Linked DNA regions of Arabidopsis thaliana. The protein of the gene in region 1 interacts with the protein of each later gene in a pairwise test. Each region holds a gene or a part of one and is shown in the gene's direction. Other genes may lie near its edges.

The links. Proteins that work in one complex are often made in the same cells at the same time.
Region 2: the proteins of IAA34 (region 1) and MYB15 interact in binary tests that used the Arabidopsis thaliana proteins (3 or more experiments, as listed by UniProt).
Region 3: the proteins of IAA34 (region 1) and AT5G60142 interact in binary tests that used the Arabidopsis thaliana proteins (3 or more experiments, as listed by UniProt).

Annotation. Positions count from the first base shown.
Region 1 is NC_003070.9:5,181,469-5,185,049, reverse strand, and holds IAA34 (indole-3-acetic acid inducible 34), read left to right. Parts: upstream 1-1,636; 5' UTR 1,637-1,806; coding exon 1,807-1,893; intron 1,894-2,020; exon of another isoform or gene 2,021-2,042; coding exon 2,043-2,196; intron 2,197-2,304; coding exon 2,305-2,445; intron 2,446-2,545; coding exon 2,546-2,654; intron 2,655-2,727; coding exon 2,728-2,794; 3' UTR 2,795-3,059; downstream 3,060-3,581. Other genes in the region: AT1G15060 (alpha/beta hydrolase family protein), read left to right, coding at 1-87, 289-459, 721-821, 938-997. UniProt on the Arabidopsis thaliana protein: Aux/IAA proteins are short-lived transcriptional factors that function as repressors of early auxin response genes at low auxin concentrations.
Region 2 is NC_003074.8:8,307,570-8,311,465, forward strand, and holds MYB15 (myb domain protein 15), read left to right. Parts: upstream 1-1,639; 5' UTR 1,640-1,922; coding exon 1,923-2,055; exon of another isoform or gene 2,056-2,134; coding exon 2,135-2,264; intron 2,265-2,460; coding exon 2,461-3,055; 3' UTR 3,056-3,341; downstream 3,342-3,896. UniProt on the Arabidopsis thaliana protein: Transcription factor involved in cold-regulation of CBF genes and in the development of freezing tolerance. May be part of a complex network of transcription factors controlling the expression of CBF genes and other genes in response to cold stress.
Region 3 is NC_003076.8:24,215,392-24,219,733, reverse strand, and holds AT5G60142 (AP2/B3-like transcriptional factor family protein), read left to right. Parts: upstream 1-1,984; 5' UTR 1,985-2,142; coding exon 2,143-2,155; intron 2,156-2,269; coding exon 2,270-2,340; intron 2,341-2,381; exon of another isoform or gene 2,382-2,420; coding exon 2,421-3,039; coding exon of another isoform or gene 3,040-3,065; exon of another isoform or gene 3,066-3,125; coding exon 3,126-3,217; intron 3,218-3,308; coding exon 3,309-3,554; 3' UTR 3,555-3,787; downstream 3,788-4,342. Other genes in the region: AT5G60150 (uncharacterized protein), read right to left, coding at 1-40, 153-316, 420-502, 623-876, 974-1,171, 1,349-1,523.

The DNA of each region.
Region 1 (3,581 bases):
ATGTATTATCTTGGCTTAATGATTTGATATCATCAACAGATATGATGCACCCTGAAATGTTAGAAAAGCTTGTCTTGAATAACTTCTGTAAGTAAAAACAGTTGATCCCATTTAAGTATGTGAGTTCTTAATGTATTTTAAGTGGAAAAGAAACGTATCTTCATTAAGAAAAAGAAAATGCTGGAACAGTTACTATTAGATGCTTGAATGTACCATGACTTTTTTTGCAATCCGTAATTGCTCCCTTTATGGTGATTTTCAAGAGTTTCTTTGTTTTCTTACATCTAGGTACCATACCTGCAAAACTACTTATTCAGCTGACAACGGCCTTTCGAGAGGGAGGCTTACGTGATCGTAGTGGTAAATTTTACTATAAGGATCATCTTCCCAGAACCAGTGTCCCTGTCTTAGCTCTTGCAGGTGATCGGGACTTGATCTGCCCCCCTGCGGCTGTGGAAGGTATACTAACATAATGTTTATTATGAAATTCTGCATAGATGACTCTAGCATATACATGAAACCATTCATTTACCCAGATATGCATTTCATTTTAAATTCTACATTGCTGTTACTGAATTCTTTCGAGTTATGAGAGGCTGTATAAGGCGTAGATGGATTAACTTTTGTGATACTTTCCACACACACCAAATAAATTTTTAAGCTACTCACACATGCATTTTCACCATTATGACTAATTACAAATGCTTGTGAATATGGCAGACACTGTTAAGCTGTTTCCGGAGAACTTGGTCACTTATAAGTTACTTGGAGAACCAGATGGACCACATTATGCACACTATGATTTGGTTGGAGGACGACTGGTATGTTTGTTCCCCAGTCATTTCTAGGTCTCCTCCTATGTTGGAACTTTGTTCAATGCTGTATCATGTGCATGCTTGTTTCGTTTGTTAATCGTTTCTCTGACAACTTACTGCAGGCAGTGGAGCAAGTCTATCCTTGCATAACTGAATTTCTTAGCCACCATGATTCCGCATAAGTGAAACATTTCGGGAGTTTCTGTTCCTTGCATGCTATAGCACATGTAGATTGTAGACGTCGCACTAAGGTGGTGTCGAAGAAGTGTGTTTCAGAAGCGCCTGTTAAAAAGGATGCCATTTCCGTTTAAGACACGTACATTTAGTATCTGGGCAAACTGTACATGAGCTTAGGATGCAGTTTTTTCAAGTCATACACCTGTAAATTAGGAAAAGCATCGAATGAGATGCTGGAAGCTCTTGTCTACTGTGATGATTTCCCTTGTTTTGTTATGGCAACGAGCTTTTTATTTGAACATTTATCTTTAGAAGAACTGGTGTGTTCTCTTGTACTGCTTTGCTTCTTTTGGAGGACTTGAGTTATCCATGAGAGCAATTGTATAGACATGGATTTATGTGTACATTTTCTGTCTTAGATCCATTAATGACACAGCCCTACTTCTCAGATAATGTGTGGGATACATGATGTAATGATAGATCTGAATTGTCTAGTATTAAACAACAGAGCTCTCTTTCATGAAAGATATTGTCTCTCCACCATCATGTAAGACCATACCTAGTTCTTCTCTTTCTTTGTCCATAAATTAATTCGTTGGATTCTCTATGGTACAGAATTCTCTAGCACGACTTACCTATTTCTTTTGTAACGTGTTTGATGTTGAGTGATTACAGGTTTTGACTTGAGACAATGAGTTGTCAACACTCTCTGATAACATTGAGACACTTCACTAGATAGAGATGTGCTTGCTGTGATTAGTATAGTACAATTCTGACTTCACGATAATTTCAGGTTTTTGTGTTGGCTGACCAGATGTATTGCAGCGATCCTCCCCATCCCTTGCACTTAGTGGCATCAGACAAACAACAAAAAGACCACAAACTGATCCTTTCCTGGAAGGTAATGTGTTCTTGTCTTTTGTTTGTTCCCTGTCTGCAATGATGTCTCTTAACTCTCCTGACACTCTTAGCCTTAGCTGCTTGATATAAATCAACATCATTCTCACCTTTCTATGTATCTGTTATGTGCTGAATATGTATTTGTTATAGAAACCAACAATGGACTCAGACCCACTCGGTGTTTTCCCAAATTCTCCCAAGTATCATCCATATTACTCGCAGACCACGGAGTTTGGTGGCGTAATCGATTTAGGTCTCAGCCTGAGAACCATACAACATGAGATTTACCACTCATCTGGCCAAAGTGAGTTTCTTTGCCGTTTCCATTAGTATTTCCATTACCTTTAATTTCTTGGTAAATTTTTTCAACTCTGAGACGGTGTTTACTTATGAGTTATGACATGTGGCAAAGGATATTGTAGTAATGAAGGATACAGACGGAAGTGGGGTTATGTAAAGGTCACCATGGATGGTTTGGTGGTAGGTCGCAAGGTCTGTGTTCTTGATCATGGAAGCTATTCAACTCTTGCTCATCAACTCGAGGACATGTTTGGTAAGTTTTTCATGGGAAGCTTGGGATTCAAAGATGAGTAAGTACTATAAGTAGTAATGTTCCTAGTAGGCTTATACCGGATGTTCATTACAATCTGTAGGGATGCAGAGTGTGTCGGGATTGAGGTTGTTCCAGATGGAGTCTGAGTTCTGTTTGGTCTACAGAGACGAAGAAGGTCTGTGGAGAAATGCTGGGGATGTTCCATGGAAGTAAGCTCTTGATACTTTCTTTGTAGATTACTGAAATAAAGCGTTTACATGTGTTGTGATTTGTAAATGACAGTGAGTTCATAGAAAGCGTGGAGCGGCTGAGAATCACAAGAAGAAACGATGCTGTACTTCCCTTTTAATATTAGCTTCTCTCTTTCTTCACTCTTTGTTATAATTTCCAAGTCAGCCTTGAATCGGAAATGAAACAAAAGAGAAAAGGTAAATGTAACTTTGAATACGATTATATTCGAAATAAAGAAAGAACCACGAACTACTTTTTTCGGTGAAATCCTGATCACTAGAGCTCCGATATGTTACGTCTGGATTCTCGTCTTACCATGATACGAAGATATTGTGAACCATCCAGTTTTAAGATATAGTGGTGTAATTACGATGGTGAATTTGCCATTTTATCTTTCATACTTTTCAATTCATAATCCGCATAAACGAAAAATGAGTAGGATATCGAAGGCCTTGTGAAGACAAGAGAGCTCAACTCCGGCGACAACCTCGATCTTTTTTCTTACATTTTCATTCATACGGAGTTGTTGAAAGTCTACGACGTTATCTTTTACACGTAAGAGTGACTGAACCGGTGGCTGATTAGGATGACGTGATTTCCATAATTAATTCAACACCCTCCAAATACAGAAAGACATGCATTTATATAGTATAAAATAAAGACATATACAGTATATGCTCTGCATGCTTAATATTGTTACAAGTCAATGAGTCATCCATTCATATCTAATCCTCCTAAGAACCTAATCTGATCCATATCCATTTATTACTAAGAAAACGTTTTTTTGTTTAACATAACCAAATCAAAAGAAGGAATAATTTGGAATATCCAGAGAAGTCCATCTCAGCATCCAATAGGCAATAGGAAAGGTTTGACCAAAAACGTATACAGATAATAAAAAGTGT
Region 2 (3,896 bases), on another chromosome or scaffold:
CAACGAAATACATATAAATATTATATTTATTAGGCTAGCAAAACCTTAACTAAACCCAAACATGATGCAATTGATAATTTGTCTTTCTGACCCAATAAACTGGGTACATAAATTTTATATGTCAGTATGCTTCATGTTACAGTACTTTAATTATTTAACACTAGTAACGCAAAAAAGATTTTTTAATAAATGATCATTTAATCATTATCATTCTTCATTAAACATTATTTATTGTTTTCTAATAAAATATAATGATGGTTTAATTGTTAGTGTAAATTTATATGGTAAAACTAAAACCTGTAGGTAAGCCTCTTTTCAGTCTTTTGTTGACCAGAAACTTTGAACAATAGAGTTCTATTTTAACAAATACTAACAAAATACAGAAGAAGGGTAAAGTTTTAGGTTGAAACTTAAAAGGGTGCGATACGTGTGAACGCGTTGGTCAACAAATACTATCACGAGCTGTTCTCTTTCCCGCGGACAGATATTGATTTTTTCGTGTTCTATTTTTGGATTTTGTGGCTGGTGTAATAATAATATTAAAGCATATATACTAGTATAAAACTGGTAATTTTTCGTAGAGGATTGTTTTCTCAAAGCCCAAACAGTAGTTGCAAATTTGTAATAACCAGATTTTGAAGTAAAATAAAATGGTGAGGAAATTTTAGAATAATTTATTTATCAAAAAAAAACTTTAGAATATGTTACATATTTGGTAGTTATAGTATTGTATCAAATACACATATTAATCGAATTGTTTGATAAAATGGAAGTAAATTATTTTTGACTGAACTATGTAGCACATATTTATTTTATATGAATCTCAAAATCATTTATATAATTTATGAAAAAGTTAGTTTTTTTTCTATTCGATACGTTAACAATTAATTATGACCAATAAATTGTTTTAAGGCATTCAGCAGTCTAAAAATAAAGACTGAAAATGGCGTCATAATAAACGTAAATGCAGTAAATATTATTCCCTCTATTTTTGAATATTTGTAGTTTAAAATTTTTGCACACAAATTAAGAAAACATACAAATCTCATTTAATTTATCTCTTTCTTATAAAAATATTATTAATTACAATTAATCCAACCAATAAAAAAATATGATATAAAATATAATTGGTTAAAAACTATTAAACACATTTAATTTTGCATAGAAAAGTGAAAACAACACTTATAGTAAAAAAAATAAAAAATCTTTAAATTACACTTAATTAGAAATAGAAAGAATACAAAACGTACGGATGTTGTTAACCTAAACACGATTACTACCGAGACTAAAGATGTCTAAGTTTAATACTAAGAAAAGTAAAACAATTTTTCGAGCAGATATATGAATAGTGATTTTTTGGGTCAACACATAATCCACCCAACGTTGATTTTTGTTTGTCGTTTACAATCTCTAAAACGTTTATTTTCTAAGAAATATACGTGTGGGCTCATTTTAATGCCCTTCGTGCGTCTACCCGACGACTTTGTTTACTCGAAACTATATCACACACTACACCACATATTTCAACATCACACTGTATACACACATTTATATATACATGCAGACCGATTATTATAATAATATTTTCTCCGGTCCCTAAAACATATATATCATTCATTCCCACATGAGATATAATATTATGTAAAACATACTTTTGACTATGTTGCCAATAATCAAAAAGACATCTCTCTCTCTCTCTCTCACATCCTATTTTCCAAGAAGCTCACCAATGCTTTTGAATTCTCCCACATGTCTTTTGACAATTTTAGTATAAATACTCAAACCCCTTAGTCAGTCATTCTCATGTTCATCAACAGCATTTGATCTCAAGCTCATAGGAATTTGATCTCCACATTATATCTTGATCATCACCACAAGAAAAACATTTCAACTTCTTTTATCAGCAATCACAAATCAAAGAGATGGGAAGAGCTCCATGCTGTGAGAAGATGGGGTTGAAGAGAGGACCATGGACACCTGAAGAAGATCAAATCTTGGTCTCTTTTATCCTCAACCATGGACATAGTAACTGGCGAGCCCTCCCTAAGCAAGCTGGTATGTAAAAATTATAATATCAAATTTCTTAATTTTGATCAAATTTCTTACATTAATTATTGGTAATTATTATTTACAGGTCTTTTGAGATGTGGAAAAAGCTGTAGACTTAGGTGGATGAACTATTTAAAGCCTGATATTAAACGTGGCAATTTCACCAAAGAAGAGGAAGATGCTATCATCAGCTTACACCAAATACTTGGCAATAGGTATTTTACTTCACATATAAGTATATAACCGACACACAAGTTTTATTTTGTTTTCTTACTATATATAAATCACCAAAAGAAAGTAACTTTATACACACGTCTAGGTCGCACTACTATTCTTTTAACTACACAATGATCGGCTCTTTAATTACTTTTGTATTGATGTTCTTCGTTTTCCTTTTGGTATCATCTTTAGATGGTCAGCGATTGCAGCAAAACTGCCTGGAAGAACCGATAACGAGATCAAGAACGTATGGCACACTCACTTGAAGAAGAGACTCGAAGATTATCAACCAGCTAAACCTAAGACCAGCAACAAAAAGAAGGGTACTAAACCAAAATCTGAATCCGTAATAACGAGCTCGAACAGTACTAGAAGCGAATCGGAGCTAGCAGATTCATCAAACCCTTCTGGAGAAAGCTTATTTTCGACATCGCCTTCGACAAGTGAGGTTTCTTCGATGACACTCATAAGCCACGACGGCTATAGCAACGAGATTAATATGGATAACAAACCGGGAGATATCAGTACTATCGATCAAGAATGTGTTTCTTTCGAAACTTTTGGTGCGGATATCGATGAAAGCTTCTGGAAAGAGACACTGTATAGCCAAGATGAACACAACTACGTATCGAATGACCTAGAAGTGGCTGGTTTAGTTGAGATACAACAAGAGTTTCAAAACTTGGGCTCCGCTAATAATGAGATGATTTTTGACAGTGAGATGGACTTCTGGTTCGATGTATTGGCTAGAACCGGCGGGGAACAAGATCTCTTAGCCGGGCTCTAGTTAACATGTTTGAGGAGTAAAGTGAAATGGTGCAAATTAGTTAAGGCTAAGAAATTCAAAAGCTTTTGTTTACCGAGAAAAAAACACACTCTAACTCTTGATGTGATGTAGTTAGTGTATTAATTAGAGGCTGCGTTTTCAAAAAATTGAATTCATTTGTTTCTCCAAAATTGAGTAGTTTAGCTTGTACGAGTAATTAATAATCAATGACAAGTAATCAAAGAGTCTACGTATATTAATATTGCCTTGTTGATGAAATAATTATCCAACAAACATTGGATGCCACTATAACAACAACAGCAATTAAAATAATATAAGTACTAGATTAATTCACTGTTATAATCATTTTCTAATGAGGTTTTGAAAGTTCAACTATGGCGGAAAAGGTAAAGTTACGTAGTTTTATAATAAATAACTTGAGAAAAAGGAGCTTAATGATCATAAACATTTTTAATTAAAATCTCAAATCTCTAAACATTTGTAGTTTATGTGTTAACGACGTCTATGCGTCATCATCCAAATTTAAGCCCCATATTGATGACAAAAAATATTTAAATTATAATTATACAAAACATATAAAACTATTGATTACGTTTTTTTTGGTAAGGAAAACTATTGATTACTCTTAAACTAGATGTTGTCCTTTAAGATAATAGCCCACCAAAAACAAAATCGAGATAATAATAATCTAATTATTTTTAAAAATTTAGACACTGCTTTGTATTGTAATTTTTGAATATCTAATTCATAACATAATTAAGGTAGCTTAAAAGAAAAGAAAAGAAAAAATTGTGCCCTTTATTTGAGAAAGGTATAATTGTGTGAAGTTAAACGATGACGT
Region 3 (4,342 bases), on another chromosome or scaffold:
TTAGAGAAGCTTTCAGATCCTAAGCTCCTCTGAGAATTCTCTGTCATATCAGACAAAAAACCATGTAGCAATATATAAACAGGATGAAAAGTAACAGAACTAAAAAGGATATGAGATGAATAGTTTTTATTTGCTAACTGAAGTGAACATACTTAATTGAGTAGGTTGACTGTTTTTCGCTTTGATTGGACTTTGAGTAGTCCTTTTCATGTTGTTTCCAACTGTAACTGGGTCAGATTTGGTAGTAGGAACTTTAGATATGCTCAGCTCCCTGCAACGTGATGTTGTTGTATGCACATTTGCAGGTCTTTTCAGGGTGCAAGATGGTTAAGGTAAACAAGCAAAAAGAACACAAACAAGACCTGCAAAGGATATCAAGATTGCCTATACACTCAGTACTCAAAGTAAGAAAAGGATATGAAGATGAAGGAGGAGGCCGGGGACAGCCACTGCGCTTGGAACCACTCCTTAAATCCTGAGCTGAGATAACTTTTTTCTGGGCCTATAATGCAGATATTCGACATTTAGATAGACTGCGCCTCAAAATATATATATTTACGCAAGGAAAGAAACGACTTATGACCCTCATTAGCTCCACAATATTTAGGTCCAGTAAACTCACCGAGGAAGATTGGGATTTAGATGGTGATCCGTACTTGGGCATTATGCCACTGACAAGCTTCTTCTCTCTGTTTTTACTATTCACAGGCAAGTCGTTAAATAAGTTTTCTTCAAGTGCTTGTAGTCCTGGTGAAACATTACATTTGGAAGCTGACATTGACTCTCTGTACTCTTCCTGAATGGCAGCTAACCGATCTCCACCAAGATGGCAAGCAGTTCCAGTTATTTTAGATAACTCAGATGAATCCAAAACACCTGGTTCATGACCATATCACACATCTTAAGATTCTTAGTAACATAGACCAAATCTTTGACCTTTACTACTAACAGGAAATTGGTAAAAAAAAGTCACCTTCTTCCGTTGAAAAAGCTCTATCCCATGCTAAACTCTTGCGCAAATTAAACCCTGCATTCTTTTTCTTCTTCTTCATCTGTTGTCGCTCCACACTCAATTTGGGCAATTCAACTTTAGCATTCTCCTTTCCTACACTATCTGTATCAACTGAAGCGCATGGCTGCTCCCTGTTGTTGCTGGTGCCTGTTACTCTTCCTGCAAAAAGTATTAACCTTCATATATCCGCAGAATACACAACATTTATACTAATTTGCTATTTTATCAAATTAAGATTTAAACAATGCTAATTCAGATGCTTAAACACTCTAACAAAGGGAGAGAGAAATTATCAGAACGAAGCTCGGATCGAGAACGAGAAATTGAAGCGCTTACCAATTGGGGAAAAAGGAGGCCGAGTAGGAACGATACGACTAGATCTAGGGATTTGGAGAGGTGAGCATTTCAAATAACTCTTTCCTCGGCTCGAATTAGTTTTCTTCGGCGTATTCTTCAGAAGCCAATTATCTTCGTCGTCTTCTCCAGAGATATCTAAGAGATCCTTATCCATTTCTAGCTTCTCTTTCGAGCCCAAGATCTGACGATTAGGAAATCCGGAATCCTATAGCTAGGTTTTTTCAAACTTACACTGAGAAAATCTCTTCGGAAGTTGTAGGCGAAAATCCTAGTCGGTAAATCGGAAATTGTTCGGCCGATGGAAGAGACGACTGTTGATAGAATATCCCGGCCTCGTAAGCGGGAAGAGGTTGAAAAACTTGAAATTGAAAGAAGATCGGACCAACGTTCTCTATAATCTCAGGTTATTATTGTCATTTAAAGCAAATCGATTGGGCCGGACTTTAAAGCCCATTTATTTGAATTTTAAATTCTCGTTCACCCTTTATTGGTTTGGTTTGGTTAGGATAATATTTTTTCGGTTTGATTAAAATCATATCGGTTCGGTTCATGGAGCATTGAAGTAAAAGTAGTTAGCACATGTTTTATTTTTCCATTTGTAGCAATAAGCCTAGAAGACAATACAGTCTCTGTGTTATGCTACAAAAGGCAAAATCTCTAAAGCAAACCAAAAGATCGGAGATCTATTAACAAAGCTCTTTTACTTTTCTATTTTCAAGAACCATTTTCACCTTCACTTTCACTAAAAGAGTTAGGGTTTCAAAGAGGTGAAGATGATGAACAGAGGTTTCTTCTTTAGACTCTTGTTTTTATGTTAAGATCTTTATGCTATTGTTTGTTCTTGATTCTCCAATCACATAACCTATCCTATGTTCTGATTTTTTTCTTGCTTTGGAACAGGAATTTCTGTGGATGATTGTCTTCCAAAGTTCTTCAAAGTGTACTTACCTGATGATTCCGGAGATGATTTGGTAAAAATACACTTCTCTCTCTGTTTTTGGTTATATGTAGATTTTTAGTTTATTGAAACTTTTAGATCCTTCCTCTTCAGGAATTACCCATCTCTTTCAACAGCTTTTTACCAAAGTCGTTGCCTAAAAATGTAATTGTTAGAAGCATTTATGGAAACATCTGGAAAGTGGCGTTTAGGAAGTTTTGTGGTGATAGTGAGAGATTTGTTATGGTTAATGGGTGGAAGAAGATAGTCAAGGACGAAGATTTGAAAGGTGGAGAGTTCTTAGAATTTGAGTTTGATGGCTCTTGGTGTTTCAATTTCTGTATCTATGGTCGTGCAACGTGTAAAAGGCTTAGAAGTTCAGTGCAAATCACGGTTCTTGATGACAATGATGATGGTTTTAATGATGATCAAGATTATGGGGAAGAAGTTAAATCTAGTGAAAATTTCATAGTTCTTGATGATGATGATATTAGTGATGTTCAAGATTATAATGAGGAAGATACATCTAGTGAAGATATTACAGCTCTTGATGATGCTGATAATGATGATATTAATGATGTTCAAGATTATGTTGAGGAAGATACATCTAGTGAAGATATCATAGTTATTGATGATGATGATGATGATGATGATCAAGATTATGGTGACGATGATCATGCTGATGTTGAGAAAGAAAGATGGAGAGGAGTCAAAACAGAGAAAAAAAAGAAAGGTATAATAGAAACTTTTGTCTTGTGAAGTTAACTGAGACTGAGAGCATCACTGTCTTTTTATTTTCTTGCGTATAAATTTTGATAGGTTCTTCTGGAGAGCATGACAGACAATATCTGGATAATCACATGAACCCTTTCTTTACAGTGAACCAGCATCGGCAAATAAAATATAATATGGTAAGAAATGTGAAGAAAGTCTCATGTCTTTTTGCATTTTCATTAAAATAATGTACCACTTCTGTTTTATGATGTTATCTTTGTAATGCAGCTGCGCATACCAACTAAGGTCATAACGAAGTATGGCTTACACTTCCCTGAGTTCATCAATTTGATTGATCCACTCGAGAAAAACTTTGGTAAATTGAAGAGGAAAGTTAAGGGTCAAACAATCAAGGGATTCCGTAGTATAATCAGAAGGAATAATGTGAAGTTGAATGACAAGGTGATTTGTGAGTTAGAAAAGGAGATGGATGGTCTTGTTCGAGAAATCAAGGTCCATGTTATAAGAGGATGATCTCTTGATAAGGCTTTATGCGTTAACTCCAAGACATTATCTATTTTTACTTGAGAGTTTTTATATGAGTAGAGTACTTGGTTTTATGAATCTTATTGGTTTTCTCGGAACATAATCGATGTTGATGCTTTCTATACACTTCTTGATTTTGTTTGTTTGTCTGAAACATGAAGTGCAAAAGACGATCAACACAGTCTTACAATAATAATGTATACTAGAGCTATAGATTTTGGGAGAAATCATTATGAATGGTTCACACATCAGGGCTGTTTAAAACCTGCGAGTTCATGTAAAAAGAATGTTATTACTCTCTATGTGATCATAAGAAAAGCATTGGCATAGGAGGAGAATAATACTAAGATACTTGGAACTCTGCCACTTAACACTATCTCATTCTTCTTTCAAGTTTCAAGTTTCTTGTTCAAGAATTGAGATGTCACAAGTCCTTCTTTCTCTAATATACCCTTCTCGACTCTTTACTGTGGTTCTTTTGTTTAAGGACGATAATGTCATTTACACGATATAGATTGAACCAAACTTAAGGCCCATTTCTTGTTTTTTGTTTGGGCCTTAGCGATACCTTGGTCCGCTTAACGAATTATTTTTGAATAAGAAGAGTACTATTAATGGTTTGTTTTCCATTTGAAGGAAAAAGCATCGAAACAGAGAGAACCCTCTGTTTTTGCAAGTTTTTGCTACAAAAGGCCAACACCTTTAGATCAAATCACATCTGGAAAAACTTGGATCTGGAGAAACTTTGTTCACCTTTTTATTTCCGATCAAAATTA